Saccharomyces cerevisiae S288C: one gene and its partner. The protein of the gene in region 1 purifies or fractionates together with the protein of each later gene. This does not show direct contact. Each region holds a gene or a part of one and is shown on either strand. Other genes may lie near its edges.

Region 1 (8,104 bases):
GCTGGAGCTATACTGCTTATAGTACCATATTTTAAATTCATACCAAGCCATTCGTACGCGATGACCATTATAGATCGACCTTGCGACACCATCATATTTAATATTCAAAAAGAAAAAAATGCAGTTCTATATCACAGTTATATAATATTTATATGTGCATGTATGTTACTTGTCTTTGCACATAACTCAATGCGTCCACAATCTTACCATCTTGTCTTTCCCACCACTACACACTCTTTTACCGTCGACACTCCAGTCGACGGTATAAACTTCGTCTTTATGACCAGGGAGGTCAACAGAAAGTTTTCTAGTTCTTACATCCCACACTTTCAACGTGGTATCTTTGGAACATGACACCAGTAGTCGGCAGTCCGATGACCACGCAACCTGGTATACGCTGGCTACATGCCCTCTAAATGTGGAGATAAACTTACCATCTCTACCGTCCCAAAGTTTGATAGAGTTATCAAAAGACGCTGAGACAATATACCTACCATCAGGGCTGAACGCCACATGATTGACTAATTTTTGGTGACCGGTCATTCTTGCTATAGGCTTGGTAGATTTTAGTGGGTTCCATAAAAACATGGTATAATCATCGCTTGCAGTAACCATCATTTCTTCTGAATTTCCATTCTTTTTACAGATTTTTTCATAATTTTCCAATGCCTTTTTCTGGGCTTCTTCTGGTGTAGAAGGCTTCTTACCTGTATGATCGAATGCACCAATGCGCAATGCGTAATCTGTAGATAAAGATAAGTGATTAACCCAGTGCGCATGCGACTTCAAAATGTTGATACATCTGCCCTGCGAATTGATGTCCCATACACGTACGGTTCTATCGTGAGAGCCACTATACAATAGACCTTGGCCGCCCCATTTGACACAAGACACTGAATTTGTGTGACCACTCATCGTATACTGGCAAACTCTGCTCACAGTGTCCCAAATCTTAATAGTACCATCCTTAGAAGATGAAGCTAATCTTGGTTTGGAGCCCGGCTTCACAAGATGTATAGGTTCCCAACTTAAAGAAGTGATCCACTTGGAATGACCTCTGAGAGCATCACCTAGACACTGACCGCTTTTTGGGTCCCATAATCTTATGGTATTGTCCATGGATCCCGTAGCAATTACTTCTCCATCGGGGGACCAGGAAACGCAGAGAACCCAATTGTAGTGACCCTTTAGAGTATGCATTGGCGTTTGGGTGTCACAGTCCCAAATCCTTGCAGTATTATCACCTGCACCGGTTACCATCCTAGAACTCGTATGTGGTGCGAAGGCAGAACACAAAATTGTGGAACCGTGACCTGCAATGGCTGATGAACTTCTAGTTACCGGCTTGACTTTGAAAACTGCTCTTGGCGTATACAGTAGCGTGATCTGATCTTCTGTACTGTTATAGCCTGGTTTTATTAATGAAGAATATAGGTTATCTGTTATATCAATCGTCTTCACAGGGTCACTGGCCTTCTTACCTTGAATTGTACAGCTGAAGGTATATGGCACTGGATCGTCTGAAGTACCGTTCAATTGATTTAAAAGTTCTTCTAACTGTTTCTCGGAGATAGCACCGGGAACTCTCAGGGCGCCACCTACATTGTCACCAGTATCTAAAGCTTGGAACTTGATTGAAACATTGGGTAAATCTTTCGGAATAATAGCTACTTCTCTGGGAAGTTGAGCCTCTTTCTTTTGTTTCTTAGAAGGTGGAGGAATCAGGGTGGACATCTGTATATTGTGTTAGTGTGTGTTTATCGAGGTTACAAATATAAAAATCTTGTGATATATGTCTTTTAAAGATACTCTTTTTGAAGCTCATCGCATTTTTTTTTTTTTTTTCATTTTAAAATTTTTCACCGGTTTCTCGGGTAACAGCTCTAAATGAAATCTTGCCTTCATCACCATTATTGAATTACATTACATTATATATCGTAGTATATCATATTTTTAGACGTTGACCACTCTATGAGCTTAGGATAGGTACTTGATCTTTCTCTGAGTTGCCAAATGCTATTTCACGGATTTGTATCATCCAAGGGTCTATCAGTAGTTCCACAGCAGTAGCCCTCATAGTGGGGTCTTGAACCAAACACCTTTCCAAGAAGGCTCTTCCCGCTGCAGTCATTTCGTCTCTATTGGGTAGTTGCGGTATTCGACCTGCAGCAACGTGGTACATGATGGCCCATTCATTATCCAAGTTAGACCAAGGTCGTCTACCTGTGGCCATTTCTAGCACAACACATCCTAATGCCCATACATCGTCCGCTCCAAGTTTTCCCTTAACTGCCGAGCCTGAAATAGTCTCTGGAGCCATATACATCGGTGTCCCCATCATTTCATTGAGGGACTTTGTTTCTACTCCAAAATCTTGAACGGCTGCGTTCCGCACAGTTCTAGTCCTAGATCCTACAACGGTACGTGCCGTACCAAAATCCACATATTTTATGATTCCATTGAAATCCAGCAAGATATTCTCCGGTTTAATGTCGCGATGCACCACGCCAGATTGGTGCAAATATGCCAAACCTTCTAATAGTTCGAATGTGTACACTTGTGTTACCATTTCATCTTCAATTCTTCCATGATCCAATAACGAGGCTAAAGAACCACCCTCACAGTATTCCATGAAGATGTTAACTTTATCGCGATGTACTTCGACACCATAGTACTGGACAATATTAGGATGGTTTAACATTTCCAATACGGTCATCTCTTCTTTAATCAGGGGAAAAATCTTCTTCATTGTTGTGGTATCGTGTATCTTTATTTCCTTAACAGCTAAGATTTCACCGTTTTCCAGATTAATTGCAGAGTATACCTGTCCAAATGTTCCACCGCCAATGAAGCTTCTTTTTTGCCACCTCATTGATACATTCGATAATGAGGATGCTAGCGATAGTAGGTATTTGTTTCCCTGATCTGTAGCATCCAATACCTTACCCATTTGCCTGGGATTCCTCTTCATAGTCTTTTCCAACGTCTTTATAGCTTCCAGTCTCAACCTGCTGTTTATTTCTAGGGTGGCCTCTTCATCAATATTCTCTTCAGTATCAATATTCAATCTTGCCTGTTGCATGCCATTTTCAGCTTCAGTGGCTCGTGCACCCATAACGTCGAAATGTGAAATTAATAATGACATACATACTGATACCCTCTCCTTCAGTTCTTGAAATTGCTTTACATTCAGCGCCAGGATATTATAACCACTAGTCATCTGCATCGCAAAATCCATTGCAAGAACGCACCATCGGAAAGTTCGCTGATCGGTAGGATCACACTCTTCAACAAGGAATTTCAACCAGTTCATTCCTAATTTAACCATCAGAAAGATGATAACGTACTTCCTCTTTGAGCTAAAGGCGTTATATTTAAGGAAACTTCTTCCAAAATCCCTTCCAAACATGAATATCGAATTTAACAACTCATTTCCCGGACATTGCTTCATAAAGCTACCTAGAATTCCTTTGTAGTTGTTCAATACTGTATAAGTAAGTTTGTAATATGCCTTATTGATTTTTTGTAGGGAGGATTCAATTGAATTGAGTGAACAACGTTTCTCTATGAATGAAACAGAATCACCTACCGTTTGATTAAACTTGTCGATTTGATAAGTCAGTGCATAATTAGAACCTTGATTGAGTAAAATCAACGTATTTGGGTTACCAATTTTCCCTAAATCCATTTCGTTGGATGCAAAAAGGTTGTTACCTGGAAGCTTATATACTGGTCCATCCCAAACTACTGGCTCTCCAGGATATAGTACAACTAGTGCACCCAATGAGCTCAAAGCAACTTCCAATTCAAAAACTTCATTGTTCTTTTCATCAAGGTGCTGATCAAAAGGGTCTGTTGAAAAATTCTTCTTTTTGGACTGATGAGCATGCCTGTCCAAATCACTTGACGAATTTGCTACTACTCGGTAGTAAGGAATTCCTTTGGAATCCTCCCCTTTCGATACTAGAATGTTCAAATCTGTTTCTTTTGTTGTTATATCATACACATTCAAATTATTTCCAATGTCAAGCTTTGGGACCAAATCACAGCCAATGGATTTATTTCGCAAAATTCTTAAGATGGTATCATTGTCACAACCTAATAATTCAGGAGCAGCAAACATATATACACCACTAGACTCAAAAGTGTTACCGGAGTATACCAAAAAATAGTGAGCATCTTTTAACTTTTTAACAAGTTGTGCATTATGATTAATCTGATAAACAGCAGAATTTTGGAACGCCTTGACTAGAATATTGCTGAACCTGTTCAGCTTTCTTTTCATGGCACCCAAATTTTCGAAAATGGAACTTAGCCATTTTTCTGCTTCTGAAGCGTTAGCAAATGTTGGTGGGAAGTTTTGTTGTTTCAAAAGATAGAATTGCAATTTATGTACGAGTCTCAAAGTTAACTTGAGAAATTCATTTGGAATCACGGTTTCTGCACCGTTAATATAGTGACCGGTGTTTTTTAGGTGATCCCAGTATTTCAAGAGTAGATCGGGTGCTTTGAAATTTTGTTTACTGGAATCAATCAACTTTAAATTCAACAGAAAAAATAAATAACGAATGGCTTCTATTACAGTATTTTCGAACGTCGGGTCAAAATCCACATCGAACGGCAAATTGGAGCAATATTTTGTCAGTGTGTACTTCAATTGCACAGAAAGTCGAATAAAAGCGTTAAAATCATCGATCATTTGATCGATCATCATCATTGTTGGATTTTTAAGCTTTCGTGCATATGACAATCTAGTCAAAATAACTTCTTTGATTAAATAGACGGGGAACGCCAGTAGTGATCTTAACCTTTCATAAGGATATTTTATGTTCATCTTTGTCAAAGTTTCTCTGTAGACTATAAAATGTAGTTTCAGTTTGAACATCCAAGGTGATAGCGGATAGAAAATTTTTTTTTGGAATATAGACTCGATGTTCTTTTCCTTCATCAATTGTTCTGCAAGAATCTTCATTTTGCAGTTCCATTGGGGCACACCATCAAAATCCTCTTGGCAATTATCCGAACTACTTATCGGTGAGAAACGGTTTATCCAGTCGTCCAACTCTTGCCTCCTCAACGTTAAGTTCGTTTTAAAGTTCAGCCAAGAATTCATTACGTCTATTCTAGCGGTAAATTCTGCAGTATTGGTGATTGGTTTATCCTTATACATTTTTTTCAAGTTAGGCCAATAAGAGACAACGCTGTGATATCTGTTCATGAGGTCTTGTAAGATGGCCTCCAGTGCATCCAGGCTCAATATCTTGCCCTGTGGAATTTGAAACTTCATTATCTCTTCAAAAACGGAATCTGAACTATCTCTTAAATATGTAAGCGACTGTTCCATCTCTTGCATGGTCCTCCCATTCAGCCATGCCTTCAATTCGAGCCATATCTCATCTGAGAGCTCCTTATTTAACCCTGGTTTCTTGACTTGGTTAGCAATCCTCGTCTTTTCACCTTTAACAATATCTCCCTTCAGCACTCTGGCCAGCATTGACTGCCATTTGAACCGTTCGGTCGCAATTTCATTCCAAGCTAGTTCATCACTGTCTGACCTCATTTTCCTGCAATAAGGTGTAGTGGAGAAAAACTTGACACCTGAGTGCAGGTCTTCATCAATTCTGTCGCCATTAGACAACCGAATAATTTCGTCATCACCGTCGTCTTCCTCGTAGCGGTTAGTGAGTTTTATGCCCCTCGTGTAGTAGTCATCTAAAGCGGTCTTTTTTAGCTTTTTCAAGTATAGCGATTCATTGAAAACGTATCGGTCCTTAAAAGTCAGCTGACTGGGGCCGTCGCTTATTGTTTCCGAGCCACCCAATGCTTTCAAATCAGATCTTGATAGTTTATGGCTGGAATGACTTGATAATCTCTTCACGAGCTTACTTGAGATGGTATGAGGAGCCAGAACTCTCCCGCCTTCAGCCGCTTTTTGTTGCTGTGTATTCAGTATATCCATCATCATTTTCACCTACAAGGAACTACCTTTTATAGCCACCCTAAGTAAAACAACATTAGCTTAGCATCCTCAATTCTTATCGTATGTTGTTGCTGCTATTTTTATCCTATTGTTCCTGGCATCGCTTTTTTACATAAGGTACCAAGGCAAGAGAAAAGACCCGCGAAATTTTCAATTCGAGACATAGGGTTAATACGAAATATGTTAAGGTCTAGTTTCCAAAAAATGAAGAAAATGTGATTAGACATCCTGGGGAAATTAGGTTTAAATAGGGCGGGCGCTACAGGGGTTTTCCTAACAAATTTCAATGATAATAGTGGCATCATCATCGTCATATCCAGTGTAGGTATGGACTAGAACAGAAAGCAATTTGCAGCAAGACAATATGACTACGACGGTACCCAAGATATTCGCGTTTCACGAGTTTTCAGACGTGGCAGAGGCCGTAGCTGACCATGTAGTCCACGCGCAAGACGGTGCATTGGCTCCAAAGAACGAGAGGAAACACTCTGTTCCCAACATCAGCATGAATGCACTGGATATGACGAGAGAGGCCTCTTGCAAAAGCACAGCATCTGCCGCGGAAGGGAAAAGTGGTAGCAGTGGTAGTGGCAGTGGTAGCAGTAAGCCCAAAAAGGAGAAACGGTTCAAGATTGCTCTCTCCGGTGGGTCATTGATCGAAGTGCTACACGAAGGTCTGCTAAAACGAGACGATGTACGGTGGGGAGACTGGGACATTTACTTTGCAGACGAGAGACTTGTACCCTTCAGCTCGAATGAAAGCAATTATGGATGCGCCAAAAGGAAGATTTTGGACCTGATAGACACGGCGAAGTATGGAACTCCGAAGGTGTACCACATTGACGAGTCATTGATTGACGACCCGCAAGAATGCGCTGATAACTATGAAAAGGTGCTAATCCGCGGGTTTGCCGGTAGAGATTCCGTCAAACTTCCGATGTTCGACTTGTTCCTGCTTGGTTGTGCCCCCGATGGTCATATCGCATCACTCTTCCCTAACTTCCAGGACAATCTACGTGAGAAACTTGCATGGGTGGTGCCCGTGGAGAACGCTCCTAGTGGGCCCTCGACCAGAATTTCGCTGACTATACCTGTAATCTGCCATTCTCACAGGGTTACTTTCGTTGTCGAAGGTGCAACCAAGGCGCCCATCATCAAGACCATTATGGAAAGGCCTGAAAAGGGCCTACCTAGCAGTATTGTCAACGAAGGTGCTGCTGGTCGTGTATCATGGTTTGTTGACGACGATGCTCTTACGGACGTCCTCGTCACCAAAAAAAAGTATAAATTCCACCAAGGTTTGTCTATTTAAACCATGCATGTGTGTACATACATACATACACACATACATACATACATACATATATTTATGTATATTTATGTATATATATATATATATATATATGCGTAATTATGCAGATTTCTCCTTGTGTGCTACAGCGGGTACTCTGACGCCAGATCATGGCCTCGAGATCGATATACAAACCACTGCATGATAAAGATGAAGTTGAATATTAAAGTTACCATTGACAGTCCCACTTTTCCAAAATTTGTCACGAACGTATCCAGACTGAAACCTTGATCGTTAGACAACTGCCAAATCAATTGGAGCAGCGAGGCGATACCGCCAGTGACATCTAGAAACACACCCTGAATGGGGAAACAATCCATAGATTTTCTTGTCGAGTTATGCGTCACTTGTGGGATGTACTTGATTAGTGACATCGATATTTTGAGTAAAAACAAATTGTTGCAATACGCCAGAGTTCTTGAGTTATGCCAATCGTACCAGTAGTTGGAGTACATAAATTGTACGGTTAGCAGTGAAAAAATGGCCAGTGATGCGAGTAAAATCCTTAGGTACCATGGATTCATCTTGCGGTGACCTTTACCTGGAAATCGCCAGATTCTCGCTCCAGCTACCACCTGGGTCAATAAGACAACATTCATCAAGCACCCATGCAGGCAATACCAGAAATCAAATTGCGTCAACTTGGGCCTGCCCAAGTCAGACTCATCACCCGTCATTTTCCAGCAGTACAATTGCAAAAATATGGATATGACCAGGTAAGAGTAACCTGCCGTATTTAACATGACAAAATCCATCGATATCGCGCTCGCTGA
Region 2 (6,571 bases), on another chromosome or scaffold:
TATGCCCTTTCGCCTCGCCTCGATCAATAAACCTACCCGGATATTACAACAACATAATAATACACCTGTGAAGGTAAAGAAAGAGCATTTCTCTTTTTTTTATTTTTTTTTTTTTTTACTTTCTTTACATTAAAAAAAATATGAAGAGTGTAATAGGTAAGTATAAGTATTATTTAATCATTACAATTTAGCTTCAATAGTATAGAAGCGCACCACTTCATCAATGGCTTTAGCCACGTATTCCACGTTTCCTTGATTCAATCCAGCAATAGAAGCTCTACCTGAGGCAACCAAGTAAACTGCGTGGGTTTCTTCAAGTCGTTTAACCATTTGAGGAGTCAATCCTGTAAAGGAGAACATCCCGCATTGATTTACTATATGATCCCAGTTGCCAGGAGTGCCCAACTTGACTAAATGGTCTCTTAATGCGTGCCTCATTTTCGTAATTCTGGAGGACATGGTAACCATATCCTTGTGCCACTGTTCCGTTAATTCTGGCGTTTCCAACAGTTTAGCGACAATCTTAGCGCCGTAGGCGGGTGGGTTGGACACTTCACTACGAATGATTTTGGCCAATTGAGATGTAACAGCAGGCTTTATAGTTTTGTTTTGAGCTTGTTTTGTAAGTGCTAGATGGAAACAACCTACACGCTCACCGTACATACCGGCGTTCTTGGCAAAGGACTGACAGACAAAGACGGGAGAGACCGTTGAAAGCTTCTCCACACCTAGACGCACAGCATAGGCATCCTTGTCCAAATCTCCAGTGGCAAACCCTTGGTAGGCGGTGTCAAATAAGGCGATGTGGTTCTTTGAGGCGATAGCATCAACGATTTGAACCCATTGTTCACTAGTAGGGTCCAGACCAGTTGGGTTATGGGCGCAAGAGTGCAGAACGAAAATGGAGCCCTCTGGAGCTTTTTGAATAGCATTTAGAAAGCCGTTTAGGTCCAAAGACTTAGTTTCGTTGGCCCAGTAAGGGTAAGTCGCCGTTTTCAAGCCTTGATTCTCAAAAATGGCCATGTGGTTGGCCCAAGTAGGCTTAGACAAATAGACCAGTTTATCTGGGAAGAATTTTGAAAAAAACTTCGCAGATATATGAAGAGCACCCGTACCAGACAGTGATTGTACTGAGATTACTCTGTCTTCCTGAAAGGCATCGGATTGCGTACCGAAGATGATCTTGGCGGCGTTAGATGTCAAACTTGGCAGACCGGTAATACCGAGGTATTCATGGTTGTAGGAGCTGTCGTTATGAATTAGCTTTTCGGCGGCTTTAACACTTGGCAAGACCCATGGTTTACCGTTGTCGTCTCTGTAGGCCCCGATACCCAAGTCGACCTTGGTAGCACGTTGATCTTGCCCGTACCTTTGCTTAATACCAAAAAGGGCATCAGGGGGCAGCAATTCGATGTTATTGAACAGAGTGGCAGACATTATCGCTCTTGTGTTCTTGTATTCCTGTGTTCTTTTGTTCATTAGAATTTGGACGGTTGCGCTTTCCCTTCTTAAAGTATCCACATACGTTTATATACCGACGTGCAAGGCGACAAGGTAAATGAGGCCGATCACGCTGACTCACTCGGTCCGACTCTCGGCGATCGTTATTCACGAAGACGAAAGATAGCCATTTCCAGTGGTGACCATTAGTATTGACAATATGTACATCGCATTAAACAGTAAGAAAACATTAATATTCCGTCAGGAATTCCTGTAAATTGCTCTTACTACAAACCTGCAATGCCCATATCATCATATTCAAAGTAAAAATTTCATTTTCCGTAATTATTCTTATCTTTGGGTGCTTTGTGGCAGCTACTGGAGTAATTGTGTATAATAGATGCCACTAGTGCAGTTAAATGAAATATCCTACATTGAGAGTTTAAAAAATTGCCTCCTTGTATGTTTCTTGTAAATAATGATTTTATGTCCTTCTAGCGTAGTAACCCTAAACCATCAGCGGCTATTATTAACATTGTTACCCTGACAGTGCTTTTTTATTTCAAGAAAAATTTTCCTTTAGATTCTCTCGCCTATATAAACACTTTGAAACTCTCATCGTCGTGCATTTAACTTCTATGGTAAACTTCTTTTCCCATTCAAGTTTCTCTTTGCTTATTTGTAAAAAAAAAAGTAACCATAGTCTCGTGCTAGTTCGGTACTATACAGGGAAGGGAAGTCACTCGCATACGTGTGTGTGCATTTCTTGCTATTGCTGCTTAGCTTCTCTAAAACACTGGGCTAGCGTTTTTCAACGCTCGAGAGGCAGAGTCTCAAGGAGCCTCCAATGGGCCTCACGTATTCATCTAGATGGCGCTTCGGACAACGGCATCACATAAGAGATGCAGCTCCTGACTTCTCCTCTGATCTTCGTGATCAGAGTTTTGAGTCGTCAGACTACGAGCAGTTTCTCTTAGTCGTTGCATCGGGTGCTGTTGCCTTAACGATGTGTATATGGGGTTCGGGGGCTGTTGCCATGATATATATGGATGAGACAGAAGTGGCCCCGTTGACGAGTTTAACTTAGATTAAGTAGGACGCATGATCTTGAGCTCTTTTCCTATACTTTGTCCTATGGCCAGCTTTCTCCTTATTACGAAGAGATTGCGGGATGTGGGTGCAGAGTGGGAAAATCTGAGTTCGGTCATCTTTGTTGTTCGTCCTACCGCAGTATATTCCTAAACACTATGAAATGACCCTAGTTGGTCCATGATCATTTGGGTAAAACCATACTGCAGACATCTCTATAATTCACATATTCACATCTTGTCCTCTCGCAGAAGAGGAAGGCCTTTGACGTAGAAAATTAAGTAAATCGTATACGTTTACGTATATACACTTGTATTCAGCTATATATGTTGTTTCTGTTCTTCTCATAAAATGTACCCTACTTAGTGGTGGAATAAACGAATTGGGTTCTCCACGTAGACGATATCAAATGAATCCGCCGCTTGGAAGACAACTTTGTCCATGACAGACCCCGAAGGAGCCGTGATGAACTTTACACCAGACTGCACAGCTCTATAAACGTTGTCTGGGAAGGGAAAGAACGCATCGGATGATAACGATACATTGTTTAATTTGCTTAACCATTCTAGTCTTTCTTCTTTGGTGAAAGGTTCAGGGACTTCTTCAAATTTGCTTTCGTAATCCACCTTTTCCGGGCCTTCTATTCTTTGCCCTGTAACAAAAAGATCAATCGCATTCGACTTGTCCGCTCTCTTAATTCCCTTGGCCCACTTCATGTTCAAAACCTTTGGATGTTGTCTCAACCACCAGTTGTCCGTCTTGTCACCAGCTAATCTGGTACAGTGTATACGCGATTGTTGGCCGGCCCCAAGCCCCACAACCATACCATTCTTTGCGTAGCAAACAGAATTTGATTGTGTGTATTTTAAAACCAGCGTAGCAACAGTTAGATCGATAACGGCTTGCTCGGTAAGTGCTTTGTTTTTGGAGACAATTTCTTTGAAAGTGGATTGGTTTATGATCGCATCGTTTCTCTTTTGTTGTAACGTTACGCCAAAAACCTCTCGGGATTCCATTTGGCCAGGAACATAGTTTGGATCGATTTGTAAAATACAGTATTTTCCGTTTTTCTTCTTAGATAGTATATTCAATGCCTCTGGTTCATACCCTGGAGCAATAACACCATCGGAAACTTCTTTAGAGATGATTTTTGCAGTGGCGACATCTACAATATTGGACAATGCAATGAAATCACCAAAGGATGACATCCTATCTGCACCACGGGCCCTAGCGTATGCGCATGCCAATGGTGATAAATCCTCCATATCATTCACAAAATAAACTTGTCTTTCCACATCGGATAATGGAAGTCCCACAGCAGCACCTGCTGGAGAAACGTGCTTGAACGATGCTGCCGCAGGCAAGTTCAATGATGCAGATAACTCTTTCACTAAGGGCCATGAGTTCAAGGCATCCAAAAGATTTATATATCCTGGTGTACCGCAGAGCACTTTGAAGGGCAACTCCTCCTGCTGAGTGATATAAGCTTGTGCAGGTCTTTGGTGGGGATTACAACCATATCTTAGCGGTAATTGGGCTTTCCCTTCGGAGTACTGTTTCCTGAAAAAGTCAGAAATGGCCGCATCATAATCGGCCGTATGTTCAAACGCCTTAAGTGCAAATCTATTTCTTAAATCCTGAGAAATTTCACCGTCCTTAGACAGGTCTTGCAGAAAGATAGAATAGTCATTAGGGTCTGAAAGAATAGTCACTCTGGAATGGTTCTTTGCGGCTGCTCTCAACAAAGTCACACCGCCAATGTCGATCTCCTCTACAGCTTCTTGAACTGTAACACCAATTTTAGCCACAGTTTCTTTGAACGGATATAGATTACATACAACAAAATCCACCTTATCAATGTGCTGCTCTTTTAAATCTTTTTCATCGCCCTCTAAATTTCTGGCAAGAATACCTGCATGCACAGCAGGGTGAAGAGTCTTGACTCTACCCCCTAGCATTTCTGGTGCATGCGTAATTGAAGAAACATCGTCGACCGGAAAACCAGCTTCTCTGACCATGTTGGCCGTACCACCGGATGCTAGGATACGAACATTGTTCTCTACCAATCCCTTGGCTAAGTCTAATAAACCTGTCTTATCATAAACTGACAAGATCGCAGTCTTGGTATATTTGCCCATTTTTAGCTCTTTTGTTTTTTGTCCCTATTTATGGTATATTTGGATTCTTTGTTTGGAATGGGGTATTGATTAGATCTTGAATGTTATCTAATCGCTAAAAAGAGCAAGAAAAAAACACAAATGCTGAAAACTGGAAAAAAGGACGATCTATTTGCCAATTATTAAGGCTTATTCTTAAAGTGGAAATAGCCCTCTCTTTTGCTTTTCTTGAGTTTTATCTAATGGCTCTAATAAGGAAAAACGGGAAGAAAAGGAAAGAAAAAAAATACAAGAAAATAAGGTGCGACTAAAAAGAACATGGTGTTAATTTATGCGGCGGAGAAATTTACTTGAGCGTAAAGATATTATATATAAGTATTATGGTAGTGCCACCACCTATGTAAGCTGCTAGCATTGGTATACGTAGAACAATTAGGACTCCCTCGTCCGCTCCTTGATACAGGTAGATAAGTTCTGCCTGAGGGGAGGATTGAGAAGAGGGGGTAGGGGTTTGCTTGATAGCAGAATAAAAGTACAGCTCTAGGTCTATAAAAAAAAAAATTGGTTAAAGAAAAAATATACAGGTTTGTATATAGAATCATTAATTAAAAAGATAATAGTATAAAACACATCAGATAAACAAAAGTTTGCCCAATAAAATTATATTTTCCATCAACCAGCTTATTTTCTGTATCTCCACAAGGACAAAGTGTTTTGTCTCTTCCAGGTCTTTCTTCTACCAGCCTTGGTGTTGTTGAATTTGTGACCCTTGTTGATACCTCTGGATTTCTTACCAGTGGCAGTCAAACCTCTAGCTTCACGGTGCTTGTGAACTGGGTCACAGATCCAGTTGTAACGAGCATCTCTTCTGATAGCCTTGTGTTGAGGGTCGACCAAGATAACTTCGAAGTACTTGTAAGTAGAATCTTGGTTAACCCAGTAGGAGTTCAAGACTCTCAAGTTAGCGGCACGACGACCAACTCTTTCTTCAGCGGTAGCTCTCAAGGATCTTTGGTATTTCAATTCATTGACACCTTGGTTAGTTGGCTTACCGTAAGTAGCACCCTTTGGAACAGGTCTCTTTCTGTTACCACGTCTAACTCTGACACGGTAGATAACGAAACCTTGCTTAGCTTTGTAACCCAATCTTCTAGCCTTGTCTGGTCTAGTTGGTCTAGCGGCTCTGTGAATGACATTCTTTTGTCTGTATTCCCAGACTCTGACTCTTTGCAAGAATCTCAAAACATCAGATTGCTTCTTTCTTTGCAATTCTTCCAAATATTTGTAGGCACCCATTGCTGATTTATTTGTTTGATCGTGGTTTTCTTAGATTGTAAAAGAATTACTTAAGGATAGGGAAAGAAACGTGAGAAATAGCAGTTAAATGTACCGGTGGTAAAAATGCAATGCCATCATTCTTTGTTACCAAGCAAAAGTGAGAAATCTTGAAAAATTTTAGCACCTTTGAAAATTTTGCGTCAGCTCCAAGAAATTTCAGAAAATATATTCGACAGCTTTAAATCCGTACATTTATCAAAAAAAGAATATAATATCATGTTTGACGATGTATGCTATGTAAATCATGTCATAATACGCATCAATTGATACTACAAATGCATCTCGGATAGAGACATTGTCATGATAATCGCAACACATGTCGCACCTGGTGCATGTTCTGAACCTTAACACTAAATATTTAAACGTCATGTAGGGTGCGAGTCCATCTCATTCTTGCCCAATAAATTTTAGAAACACCCTCTTATGAAGGGCGGCAAAACATATTAAGTAAGTGTCGATTGTTAAACACTTCCCCTTTTTTTATGCATAGTAAAAGGTACAAAGAAAATAGCGTACCGTCCTTAAATCAATATAGAAATATAATGAAAAAATAAGTGCTTTGATAAGAATATCTTGAATACAAATTA

Evidence for each region.
Region 2: the proteins of SOL2 (region 1) and ADE16 purify together in Saccharomyces cerevisiae (affinity purification with mass spectrometry; 2 studies listed by BioGRID). This does not show direct contact.

Annotation. Positions count from the first base shown.
Region 1 is NC_001135.5:240,619-248,722, forward strand, and holds SOL2 (Sol2p), read left to right. Parts: upstream 1-6,344; coding exon 6,345-7,292; downstream 7,293-8,104. Other genes in the region: RSA4 (Rsa4p), read right to left, coding at 187-1,734; mitogen-activated protein kinase kinase kinase SSK22, read right to left, coding at 1,970-5,965; cystinosin-like protein ERS1, read right to left, coding at 7,415-8,104. UniProt on the Saccharomyces cerevisiae protein: May be involved in regulation of tRNA subcellular distribution.
Region 2 is NC_001144.5:196,649-203,219, forward strand, and holds ADE16 (bifunctional phosphoribosylaminoimidazolecarboxamide formyltransferase/IMP cyclohydrolase ADE16), read right to left. Parts: upstream 4,668-6,571; coding exon 2,892-4,667; downstream 1-2,891. Other genes in the region: aspartate transaminase AAT2, read right to left, coding at 181-1,437; 60S ribosomal protein eL15 RPL15A, read right to left, coding at 5,328-5,942.